2 linked regions of the Arabidopsis thaliana genome follow. The protein of the gene in region 1 interacts with the protein of each later gene in a pairwise test. Each region holds a gene or a part of one and is shown on either strand. Other genes may lie near its edges.

Region 1 (6,692 bases):
TGTAATTTTTTTTTTTACATATATAAAATTTCTTGGAAATTGTAATCATTCTTTGGAGAGACAGAGGGATCTCCAAACCCTAGAAATTGACTCCTTCGAGAAATGTTGCCTTCTTGGTGTAAAATGAAAACTAAATTCTACTCCAAGAATTATTTATATTATTATTTTTAATTCATTTTTGCAAACGAAAAAAAAATCCACCGTTTCGCCTTCTAGTCGGGATTGAATGCGTCACCATGAAATCATGCTTTAATCATATTCTGCGTGAGTGGGAAAACAACTATTTATAAGTACATAGTACTACTTTTTGGATTAAATATTTCCCTCCACTTTAAACCAGAGGTGCATACTGCATAATATAGGTAACCTTCAAAAATTGTTAGTATTTTTTCTTACTCTAACATGCTCAAATTACAAGAAAAAATTGCATATATGTATGGTGATTTAAAGCCGATCCTTTAAATGTTTCCACGGTTTTCGTTCATGAGCCTCATTGTATATATATAATATATAATTTTAGCACGTTGGAATGAGAAAGAAAATTGATAATGGATAAGTTTTATTAACATACCAAAATAATAAACTTGTTTATGTTACATGAAGTTCAAAGAGGTAGCCTCTAAAATGAAGAATACTTAACAGAATAAGCAAATATACATTTTTGTTTTCCTTATATTTGATTAATCCCACAAAGATACAAATTACTACTATTAATTAAGCAACTTATCTTAGAGGGATAAGTGAACCATTTGCTTTGAAATGGAAAAACTTTGCTTTAGTTGATGTCTATATATCTATGAATTTGTTTCCCTAACATGTTTTTTACGTCAATATTTTTAATCTATATCTGACACAATCAAGTAGACAGTTATTATACCTAACACATTATCAGGTAGTCTATAGACTCTATACCATTTTAAATGTTTAACGCATGTAAGTTAATCACATACTCTATGATCTGGTGGTTTATTTGTTAAAAGTGAATTTTTATTCTCCAATGAATTAATGATATCAAGACAGAGCAACAACTAATTTTAATTAGTTTTTTTTTGGTATAAGAAGAGTCATATAAACTTTTGAGTCATTTAAACGTAATTAGCTTTGTTAAATGAAATTCCTTTTTAAGTGGGTACGTATAAAACCCTACGCAACGCATGTTGATCCATTTAAGTCACCATCAACAAAAAGAATTATATAAATCATTGGTTGGATGAAGAAATTATTATATGAACAAAAACAGGACAAATATCTTAACAAAATTAAATTCTCTGAACTTATCGTATAATAAATTAGTAATTTAAATCACATCAAACTGAACTAAATATATGGAATTAAAAGGGTTTAAAATACATTTGATAATTTGATGTAAGAAATATGCATAGATGCAAAATACTTGTTATATATGTGGGAAATATCAAAAATTTATATTCGAATATGTTATACACCGTACAAAAAAGTCTTCGAATATATAACCCGGGTCACCTTTTCTCTTATGGCAAAAAATATAACCCCTTTTCTGTTTCTAATTTTAAAATTTTGCATTCTTGATTCTGAGCTCATAGTTCGATGAAATATAATCTAGAGAAAAAAAAAAAACATAATTCGATTAAATAACAAAAGCACCTTTCCCTCCCTACTTTATGCATAAAGCTAAAGCATGGACAAAAATGAAGTATAGAAAAATGAATTACTGATTATAACAGTCTTTCTTAATTAATCTAGTAAATATTTATACATAGTACTGTATTACATAAACTTACACACTTAGGTTTATCTGTATCATGGTTAGATTATCGTAAAGACTAAAGACTATAATATTGTGTTCATGAATTAGAAAACTTATTCCTCCGTTCATCCAAAATTAGTTAATCGTTATATCGAATATGGTCCATATGGGCATCCATATTTTCAGAAGAAAAGAAAAAAAGAAAGTAAAAGCATGTTAGGGGAAAAAATAAAAAATAAAAACAGAGAAAAAAAATCGAGAGAGGGAGAGAGAATGGTGTTAAATACATAAAAAACCCATCATTGACATGTATCGATTGCTCAATTTGTTTGTCTCTCTCTTCTTCTTTCCTTTTCTCCAAAAACTAGAGCCTAAACTAAAGCATCGAGAAACAACAAATCTTAAAATCTTTTCATATTCTCGGTTAGTAGAAACTAGGAAAAGAGATGAATAGAGGAGTGTTGGAGAGTTCGCCGGTTCAACATCTCACGGCGGCTGGAAACCCTAATTGGTGGAATAATGTCAGCCGCGGCTTGAGGCCACCAACGCCGTTGATGAGTCACGAGCCGCCGTCTACCACCGCTTTTATTCCAAGTCTCTTGCCAAACTTCTTCTCTTCTCCGACTTCCTCTTCATCTTCTTCACCTTCTTTCCCTCCTCCTAATAGTAACCCTAACTTCTCTTCTTGGCTTGAAATGAGTGATCTGCCTCTTGATCAGCCATGGAGCCTTAGTCAACTCCTCTTGTAACTCCCTTTCTCTCTCTCTCTCTCTCTCTCTCTCTCTCTCTCTCTCTCTCTCTCTCTCTCTCTATCTATCGTTCGGATGTTTTCTATGTATAAACGGTTTTGAGTTCTTGGATTTGTTTTGTAATCTAATTCGATCTTATAAAGTTTCTTTCTCTTTTTTTTTTCTTTCTCATGTATACATAATCTACTTATATTATTTCATATAAACAAACATGATCTAATATGGATTGTCTTTGAATGAAGGGGTGGATTGATGATGGGAGAGGAAGAGAAAATGGAGATGATGAACCATCATCATCATCAAAATCAACACCAAAGTTACCAAGCGAAGAGGATACAAAATTGGGAAGAACAAGTTTTGAGGCACCAAGCTTCCATGAAACAAGAGAGTAGTAATAATAATAGTTATGGAATAATGTCCTCACCAAACTCACCTCCAAACAAATCTTGTGCTACAATTATCAACACCAATGAAGACAACAACAATAACATTCACAGTGGTCTTAACTTGTCCGAGGTGGGTCAAAATAGTGAATTATTCAGATCAAGATATAATCTTTACCAAATATTAATTAACATCTCCATATTTTTTCTTTATCAATGAATATATCTGAATTTTGTTTCTGTCTATGTGTGTTCATGAAGTGTAATAGCTCAGAGATGATTGGGTCTTCTTTTGCTAATAAGAAACCAAAACTTCAAGTTCCTTCATCACAATCAACTCTCAAGGTAACTAACTAAATCCATATGTCTTTGGTTCTATCTCTTGCTGGCATTTTAAATAACAAAACAAATGCACAAACATAAAGGAGAAGTAGAAAAAAACAAAAGAGAATGGGCACAGAATAAGCTGCATGTGTGTGTGATTGTAACATTTTTGTCTTTCTTATGTGTCTTCTTCTTCTTGATCCTATTATTCTTTTTTCTCTTCCTTTCCTATGATTCAACGGTAGTTACGCAATCCTTTTTTGTTAGTTTTTATTTTAAAATGAGAAATAGATACTAAATCTGTTTTTTCAGTTTGATTCAGTTTTAGCTCAGCTTTCCTTTTCTAACAAAAAAATAAAAATTATCGAAGTTAATTAACTTTATTATGTTTTCTCCTTCTTGCTCTGTTTATTTTGTTCTGTCTAAATTGATATTGTTATGTTTGTAACAAAACATAACTTTATTTTGATCAGTTATCAAAATGTGTCATTCTTTTTCCTTTTTTTTTGTTTGGATCTTGGATCAAGTTTTGGTTAATGTTTGATTTAATCTAAGTGCATATTCCTTCTACAATATCAAAATTCCTATGTTTATGTATAATTTGCACGCTCATACTAACAAAAACTAATCATATATTAAAGACTTGAATGATCTTTTTCCTTTTTCCCATTTTAAAATAGATAAAATCACTCATAGATCTAATTACATTCGTTAAATTACGAAATGATCACATGTAGAGTGTATTTATATACGATCTCTGTATTTATCAAAGGTGAGAAAGGAGAAACTTGGAGGCAGAATAGCATCTCTTCACCAGCTAGTATCTCCCTTTGGCAAGGTATAATTACTGATTAGTTCCCTTTACTAATCACTTGTTTAAGATTATCTAATCTATGAATCAAAATTGAATTATATTAGTCACTGTTTGGTTGATTGATCCCTTTTATTTCAGACTGACACAGCCTCTGTCTTGTCGGAGGCTATTGGATACATTAGATTCCTCCACAGTCAAATTGAGGTGACTTGTCTTTTCCAAACTACCATGCTTCTTATTTCATTTATTTCAAGACAAATATTTATTTGAATCTTCCTCACAACTACAACACAAATAATCATTTGTGAACCCAAGTATGGAATTATTTGGAGTTCTATCTTCCTTTTTTATTTGGGATTTTTTTTAAATCATAATAAGAACTGAATAACATAAGTAAATTGTATTCTATTGAAACAATTAGCTGAGGTTTATGTATTTCTATAGCATTAATTAATTTAACGACTATATTTTGTGAGATTAGTTTTGTGTGAAAAACTATTTAGTTTTGTTGTCACTCTAATTAATTTTCACAATTACAGGCTTTAAGTCTACCATACTTTGGTACTCCCTCGAGGAACAATATGATGCACCAACATGTAAGTATTAAATTAATATACAGCTTTAATTAGTAACATGTATAATGTAATTATACACTACAAGATGCACATACATGCATGGGTTTCTACTAACACATCATATATATATAATGGGGCATTAAAATGTATCTTTTTTTTTTTGGTAAGTGCATTAAAATGTATCTGAATGCTAATCATTATTAATTTGTAATTACGTGAATATAGGCACAAAGAAATATGAATGGTATATTTCCTGAGGACCCTGGTCAGGTACGCACATATATTTTTTTACTTTCTAGTTTTATATACTTTACTTTTTATTGGATCAACTAAACCCAAATCTCAATTTAAAAAAAATAAATACTTGCCAGCTTTATTCCAAAACAATTACCCTTTTTCTCTACTATTGTTCTCTTGAAATTGAAATGACTACGATAAAGTATGGTCAATAAAATAAAAAGATGACATTACCAACTTTCCTTTTCAGTCCTCTATTAAACCTAGAAAAGCCATTTAAATGATTTATTATATTTATTTTCCTCAATCAGAGTAGCTTTGGTCACAAAAGTTTTTTTGGCAAATGATCGATCTAAATCAACTTTTCCAACCAAGATATCACGATTCACCTGTCCCACAAATGGTTTTATATTTTGTGACTACTTGTGAGTTTGAAATTAACTCTGACTCAAAATTTTAGCAATATTTTTCAAAGCAAAATTTATCGCTTTTCAAATTCAGAAAATTAAATACAAAATACTCACACTCAAAGGTATTAAACCCGCGGATTGGTGCACAAAACAGTAAATATTCATTTTTTGGTTGCAAAACAGTAAATATTCATGAAACTGGCATAGGTTATTTTATCCATATATCATTTACATGTAATACAGGCCGACCCACCGCAAAAGAATTTGGGCTGTTGCGAAGTAGGCCAACCCGTTTTGTCACCAATACTCCCACTAGATCACACTTTCAATATTATTTTAAATATCTATGCTGAAGAAATATTTTCTGATTTGGTTAATCAGCTTGTGAATGAGTATTGCATGAAAAGAGGAGTTTCATTGTCATCGACGGACAATCAAAAATCAAATCCTAACGAAGAACCGATGAAAGATTTGAGAAGTAGAGGGCTTTGTCTTGTTCCCATCTCATGCACACTACAAGTTGGCAGCGACAATGGTGCCGACTATTGGGCTCCGGCGTTCGGAACCACTCTCCAGTGAACTATTCACTTTCTGTTATTTTATTTTTGGTCAGCCAAAAAAAAATAGTAGATGTTATAACATCATGAGCAACCAATCAATTGAGAAAACATCAAAATGAGTTTCCAAATTTGATTGCTCATGATGCTATACTAAAACCGATTGGTTTTGGCGTTTGGCCTTTGAGCATTTTCAGTTGACGAGTATGAGATGGCTTGTTGAATCATGTTTTTCTTACTTTAATAGGAAACTTTATTTATTCTCTTAATGTATATGTTGGTTCTATTTTAATTTTATTATTGTTATAATAGAATGGTTAAACAGTTAAAGATGTTTTCATACTAACTTCATCACTAGGTTTAATCGTTTAAGATGTTTTAAAGAAGCAAGAAATGTTGTCTTCGGAAAGAAAACAGATGTACTTATAGATACTTTCTGTTCCCAATAATTTAGAGACTAATGATTTCTTTTATAAATTGTCCTAATCAAAGTTTCGTTTGTTTTAGTTGTCTTTTTAGATTTCTCGTGCATGGTCTCAGCTCAGTTTATTTTTAGACACTTCAGACATCTCACCATGGTATTGGAATTGGTAGTGCTCAATTGGTGGGTTTATTATAAGCCCTTTGCTCCATCACTATAATTGGGTTTATGGACTTTGAATTAAATTCTACAGGCCCATGGGTTTATGGATATTGTTTTCAGCACATGTCAAATGTCAATATATGAAAAATTCAATGTGGAGAAACTTCTGGTGGCTTCATAAAGAGTAAGACTGCATTTCCTGATAGTAGTAGTGTACTGGTGTGGATGCAGATAACGTTATTAGAAATCAAAATTGAAAAGGTAGCTATTTTTAGGTCACATATTGTATCATTAATAGTCATTGTTCAATGATGAAATAATGAAAGACTAAAAC
Region 2 (5,082 bases), on another chromosome or scaffold:
TTAATCCGTTTTCCCTTTGTGAATTACAGGTAAACCCCCAGATGTTGCTAAATGGCGGGTAAAAGCTCTGGCTCTACTCTACTTAATATTCAGTTACATGGTTTCAATGGTTTGTTCAAGGTAGCTAGCTGCTTCTTTTTTTCAAATTTGGATGGCAGGTGGATTATAATGACCGACCCAACGCAGAGCTGATAATAAAGTCAAAGACAAACGCTGATCTACTGATCAGATCTATGAACATTTGAATCTACTTTCAAGGGGGCTATTGGACGAAACAGAATAAGATGAATAACAAAAGACAATGTTGCGCTTCAAGGGAAGATTGCCTTTGGTCTACAATGTCTTTTTCTTGCAACGGAAACTTCCAATAAGCAATTTGTTCGCAGTAAACTGTGTATGCTAGTGTTCTCTGCATACTCACGGATTTTGTTCAGACAATGTGTTTTATACTTCTAAATTAGAAGTTCTAATGCATAAAGTGTTTGAATGCGCGGGAAATTACCTAATTATAATCAGTCCAGCTCCCAACTATATCATTTTGAATAGTTAAATGGTCTATCCAAATTAGTGCAAGAAAAAAAAGAGAGGCAAAACCATAATATAATACCAACATTTGTTTTTTCTTCCTTTTTTACATAATTCAGAAACACGATCCCACACCTTCATTACTATTACTACAGCTAGCACTACCCTCAAAGCCCTTGGTCCTGAAAATCACACTAAAGTCTTTGAACAAAAAAGAGTTACTTTCATCAAAATGATAAATACTAGCCAAGCAAGCGAGAGCTTTTTCCTTCTTTTGACAGATCCCGTTTTACTTCTTTACTGCACAAATCCTACTTAGATTCCATCTCCAATGCCTTTTTACTTACCTTTCATGAGTCACAAAAGTCTAGTAGTGGGAAACAGAGCAAAATGTCAATCATCAGCTGGGGACCGTTGGATGAACAAAAATCTACGGTGGAGGATTCATCTCTGGTTTGACGATTGAAGAAGATGTGTCTGGTGGCTGAGAATGGTAAATCGCCATTGCCAATGAGATCGGCATTATGCAAAGAGCCTTTGATTGCAAAAGTTGCATCGCTGCTCCAACGTTTTCTTCCATCAGCTTAGCCACTTGCCTCTCTGTCCCATCGTTTGACCATTTCTCCCACACGGCCTGCGTCTCATCCTGAAGAAAGTTTTTACACCACAAGTCAGTGCAAGAAAAACCATTACCAAAGTTCTGTTCTTTTTTTAATGAAGTATCTCTCTCTAGTCTAACCTCAACTGATGAAGATAATGGCATTTCAGTGACTAGTGGTGCGACAGCACCGGCTCCACCAAGACGGCTCATGCTCAGGACCTGCCATAGTTGACCAGAGATAAAGCTTATGAAGGAAAAATATTATCAAAGCCCATCATTGCATAAAATATTCTTCAATGTTCTCATTAGCTTTATTACAATAGTCCTCAATTGTGATGATTCTCCATGGGAGGGAAGCAAGCAAAAAGTGAAAGACACTAATGCCAAAAAACACACAATCATGTACTCTTTGATTACTCTTTATTGCCAGATTAAACAATTATAATCTTTTATTAAGATTGGAAGTTTGGTTTAAGAGAGTAGGTGGTGGTGGGGACCAAGGATTTACACCACTAAATCCTTCTGGCTGTTTTAAATAATCTTTCTACAAACTTTTAATGATAGCATTTTCAAAAACCAGAGAATAGAAAACTGAAAATGACTTGGGTGTTTACCTTAACTTGGAGCCTGAGAAACTTTACATAATCGACAATCTCGTCGATCATAGCAGCCCTATCTGTCTGCAAAAGGAAAGCAAAAGAAACAGATGTGAATACCGCAGTTTCTATATGCCAATCACAAAACTTTTCTCTCATTGACAACTCTAGTTTTCTCCCTACTTTTAAAATCTCTTTCAAGCTCTCTTCGCGACATGAAAACAGTAGCTGAAGCTCTAGAGAAAAAGATACCAACCTTGTTAACGGTAGGTACAAGTTCCTGCAACGACCTGATCCGTTCTGCTATTCTTTCCCTTCGGAGCTGTTGCAAAGCAAATACATTCAGGTTAGGTCTTACCGTTCTTAGTAAGTAAGAACTAATCGAACTTTCTCAACCAAAAGCTATAATTAAAGCTTTGATCAAACATTATCACATAAAAATCGAAAAAAGAGACCAGAAGATAAAAAAAGTGTATCAAACATCTTACCCTCTCAGCGATGCTATGTGGATCGGTAGCTTGACCTCGCCTAGCCCTAACTCTAGGCCGAATAGTAGACTGTTGATGCGGCATTGGTGGAGCTGGCTGTGACATTGGCTGCCCATGGAAAATCTTCAACAAAACACAAAACAATGCCGTAATAACATTAAGAAAAGCTTAAAAACCGCTTCTCACAAGAACGGTCGCCACTAGAGTAGTTATAGCAACAATTCAAACTATGACGGAATTATCCACATGAGAAAAGAAACTAAAGAGCAAATTTTCTTACAATATAATTTGGACATAAAAGAACACTCTTTTATACTAAAGTTTCTTGCAAAACTAATTTTAGTGTTATGACTTTAAAACACATCAAAATCTTCAACTTGGGTTTCTTCAAAAACATCAAATCTCACCAATCTGAGCCAAAAACTCTCGGTAACTATCAAATTTAGACCTAAGCTGGGTTTTCTCAAAAACGACACCATTTTGAAACCCTAAAGATTTGAATTTCACTTTATTTTCTCGAGAACACAAAAGAAAAAGACAAAGTGAAGATTCTGAAGAGAAACTTACAGGTTTCATAGAGGAACATCGATTATCAAGAACATCGTCTTGGAAACGTTTACCAGTTTCATCAGGTTTAAGAAAGCCATGTCCTTTCCCTTGATCGAGACTTAATCCCAACGGAAACATCTGATTATGAAACCCTACAGGTCCACCTCCTCCAATGGCACCCATATGATTATGATTCCCTTCGTTGCCTGAACCAAGCTGAAGCATCATCGGAGGTGGACCCACGCCGCCGATTCCAGAGAGACCAGAACCTGAAGAACCGGAGAAGTTGGAAAGCCCGAGGATCTGCTCGAAGAAATCGTCGGTAGGAGATGGATCGGAGATGCTATCATGTGGGATGTTGTTGTTATTAGCCATGAAGGAAACGAGTAAAGGTTTGAAATTTTCGACTCAGTGGAGCTGGGTGAGTTAAAAGATAGCGAGTTAGAGAAGAGAAGTCGAAGAACAACTTTCCATGCGAAGAATCTTGTGTGGAGTTGTTAGGTGAGAGAATGATGATGCTTAAGCTAATGAGGACGAAGAGACACAGACGAGAAAGGATATGACAAAAAGACTCACTTTATGCTCTCTTTCATTTTATTTTTGTTAAAAGGACCTTACTTTGTGGTTTATTTTCGGTTTTGCCCTTGTTCTTATATACCTTCCAGAAACTTGAAGTGGGCTTTATTTGTTTTGAAGTGGGCTTTTTGTTTTGACTTTCTTCAATTTATTCATATCAAATTAAGAAAAAGGTCTTTTACCAAACTCTTTTTAGTAGAATGTTAAAAACCAATATAACTTTCTTTTTTTAAAATATATAAATGATATGGGAAAAATTCTACGCATTGTCGGGGTCGTCGTCATCTCGTTAGTGGTAGAAAATAAGATTTTTTTAAAAAAATCTGTCTTTGTCGTTTTTTCCGAAATTTAGCACTCATGGAGTAAAGTTTCTAATATCCAATATAAAAATGACACGTTTCATTTTGCCATATGGTATTACAACTTGCTTCTCCTTAGTGCTGAACCGTTGTCCGACTCGTTTTCCATTTTGAGAGACAAGGGTTTTTCTATTTTTCACAAAACAAAATTGTGGCATTTCTGAATATAATACGAGTAAAAAATATGTCAGCAGAAATGGGCTTGGATCGATTTTGATTTGTTGGATTCCATAATTCAATCTTGGGCTTCCAATCCATAAGAAAAAAGCTTGGTGTATTTTTTTTTACAAATTAGAAGAAAGTTTTTTCCTCTTTAATCAGTACTCTTCTCCTTACCCATTAATGGCAAATGCAAACTAAATTTCAGTTGACCCGTCAAACAATAAGTTAATTTTTTGCCACGTGGCCATATTTCTCACCGGACAAAGCCTCCAATAACCTCGGCGACTTTAGATGGTGAATAATCGACGAACAACAAAGAAACTACATTGACGAAACAAACAAACAAAAACATAGAAGAAGAAGAAGAAGAAACAAAACAAAACTAAACAAGAAACAGAGGAGAAAAAAGGAAACGACGAGGAAAAACAAAAACAAAATAAAAACAAGCCTCGTTCTTCCCTTTTCTCTCTTCAAATCTTTTCTTTTACATATTTTCTTTTCTTTTTTTTGTCTTTAATACAAATTTACTAACTAATCAGAATAAAAATGGGTTCGAGTAAGTTTAAACGAGCCATAGGAGCCGTAAAGGACCAAACCAGCGTCGGTCTAGCCAAAGTCAATGGTCGAAGCGCTTCTTTATCTGAACTTGACGTAGCCATCGTCAAAGCCACTCGTCACGAAGAGTTTCCAGCAGAAGAGAAATACATTAGAGAGATTCTTAGCCTAACTTCTTACTCACGCAGTTACATCAACGCTTGCGTTAGCACGCTTTCGAGACGCCTTAATAAAACCAAATGCTGGACCGTTGCCCTCAAAACCTTGATTTTGATCCAAAGGCTCTTAGGAGAAGGAGATCAAGCCTACGAGCAAGAGATCTTCTTCGCCACTCGCCGTGGAACAAGGCTTCTCAATATGTCTGATTTTAGGGATGTTTCGAGGTCTAATTCTTGGGACTACTCTGCGTTTGTCAGGACTTACGCATTGTACCTTGACGAAAGGCTTGATTTCAGGTAAGAGTTCTTGTGCTTGATCCAGGTTCCGATTCGGGATTTCAAGTTATTTATGTAATTTGAATGATATCTAAGATATGCGGTTTTTTTTTTTTTTTCATTGCAATTTTTGAGGATGCAAGCGAGACACGGGAAACGTGGAGTTTACTGCGTTGGAGGAGAAGCTGACGAAGAAGAACAGGATCAAGCTGCGGCAGATCTCTCCACGGCTATCGT

The links. The genes of interacting proteins can lie anywhere in the genome.
Region 2: the proteins of AT2G20100 (region 1) and AT1G03040 interact in binary tests that used the Arabidopsis thaliana proteins (3 or more experiments, as listed by UniProt).

What each region holds. Positions count from the first base shown.
Region 1 is NC_003071.7:8,676,013-8,682,704, forward strand, and holds AT2G20100 (basic helix-loop-helix (bHLH) DNA-binding superfamily protein), read left to right. Parts: upstream 1-1,947; 5' UTR 1,948-2,172; coding exon 2,173-2,471; intron 2,472-2,717; coding exon 2,718-2,991; intron 2,992-3,119; coding exon 3,120-3,203; intron 3,204-3,954; coding exon 3,955-4,020; intron 4,021-4,134; coding exon 4,135-4,200; intron 4,201-4,535; coding exon 4,536-4,592; intron 4,593-4,796; coding exon 4,797-4,841; coding exon of another isoform or gene 4,842-4,904; exon of another isoform or gene 4,905-5,461; coding exon 5,462-5,797; 3' UTR 5,798-6,163; downstream 6,164-6,692.
Region 2 is NC_003070.9:703,324-708,405, forward strand, and holds AT1G03040 (basic helix-loop-helix (bHLH) DNA-binding superfamily protein), read right to left. Parts: upstream 3,342-5,082; 5' UTR 3,135-3,341; coding exon 2,778-3,134; intron 2,334-2,777; coding exon 2,211-2,333; intron 2,045-2,210; coding exon 1,979-2,044; intron 1,807-1,978; coding exon 1,741-1,806; intron 1,346-1,740; coding exon 956-1,345; 3' UTR 526-955; downstream 1-525. Other genes in the region: AT1G03030 (P-loop containing nucleoside triphosphate hydrolases superfamily protein), read left to right, coding at 30-58, 159-245; AT1G03050 (ENTH/ANTH/VHS superfamily protein), read left to right, coding at 4,403-4,866, 4,981-5,082.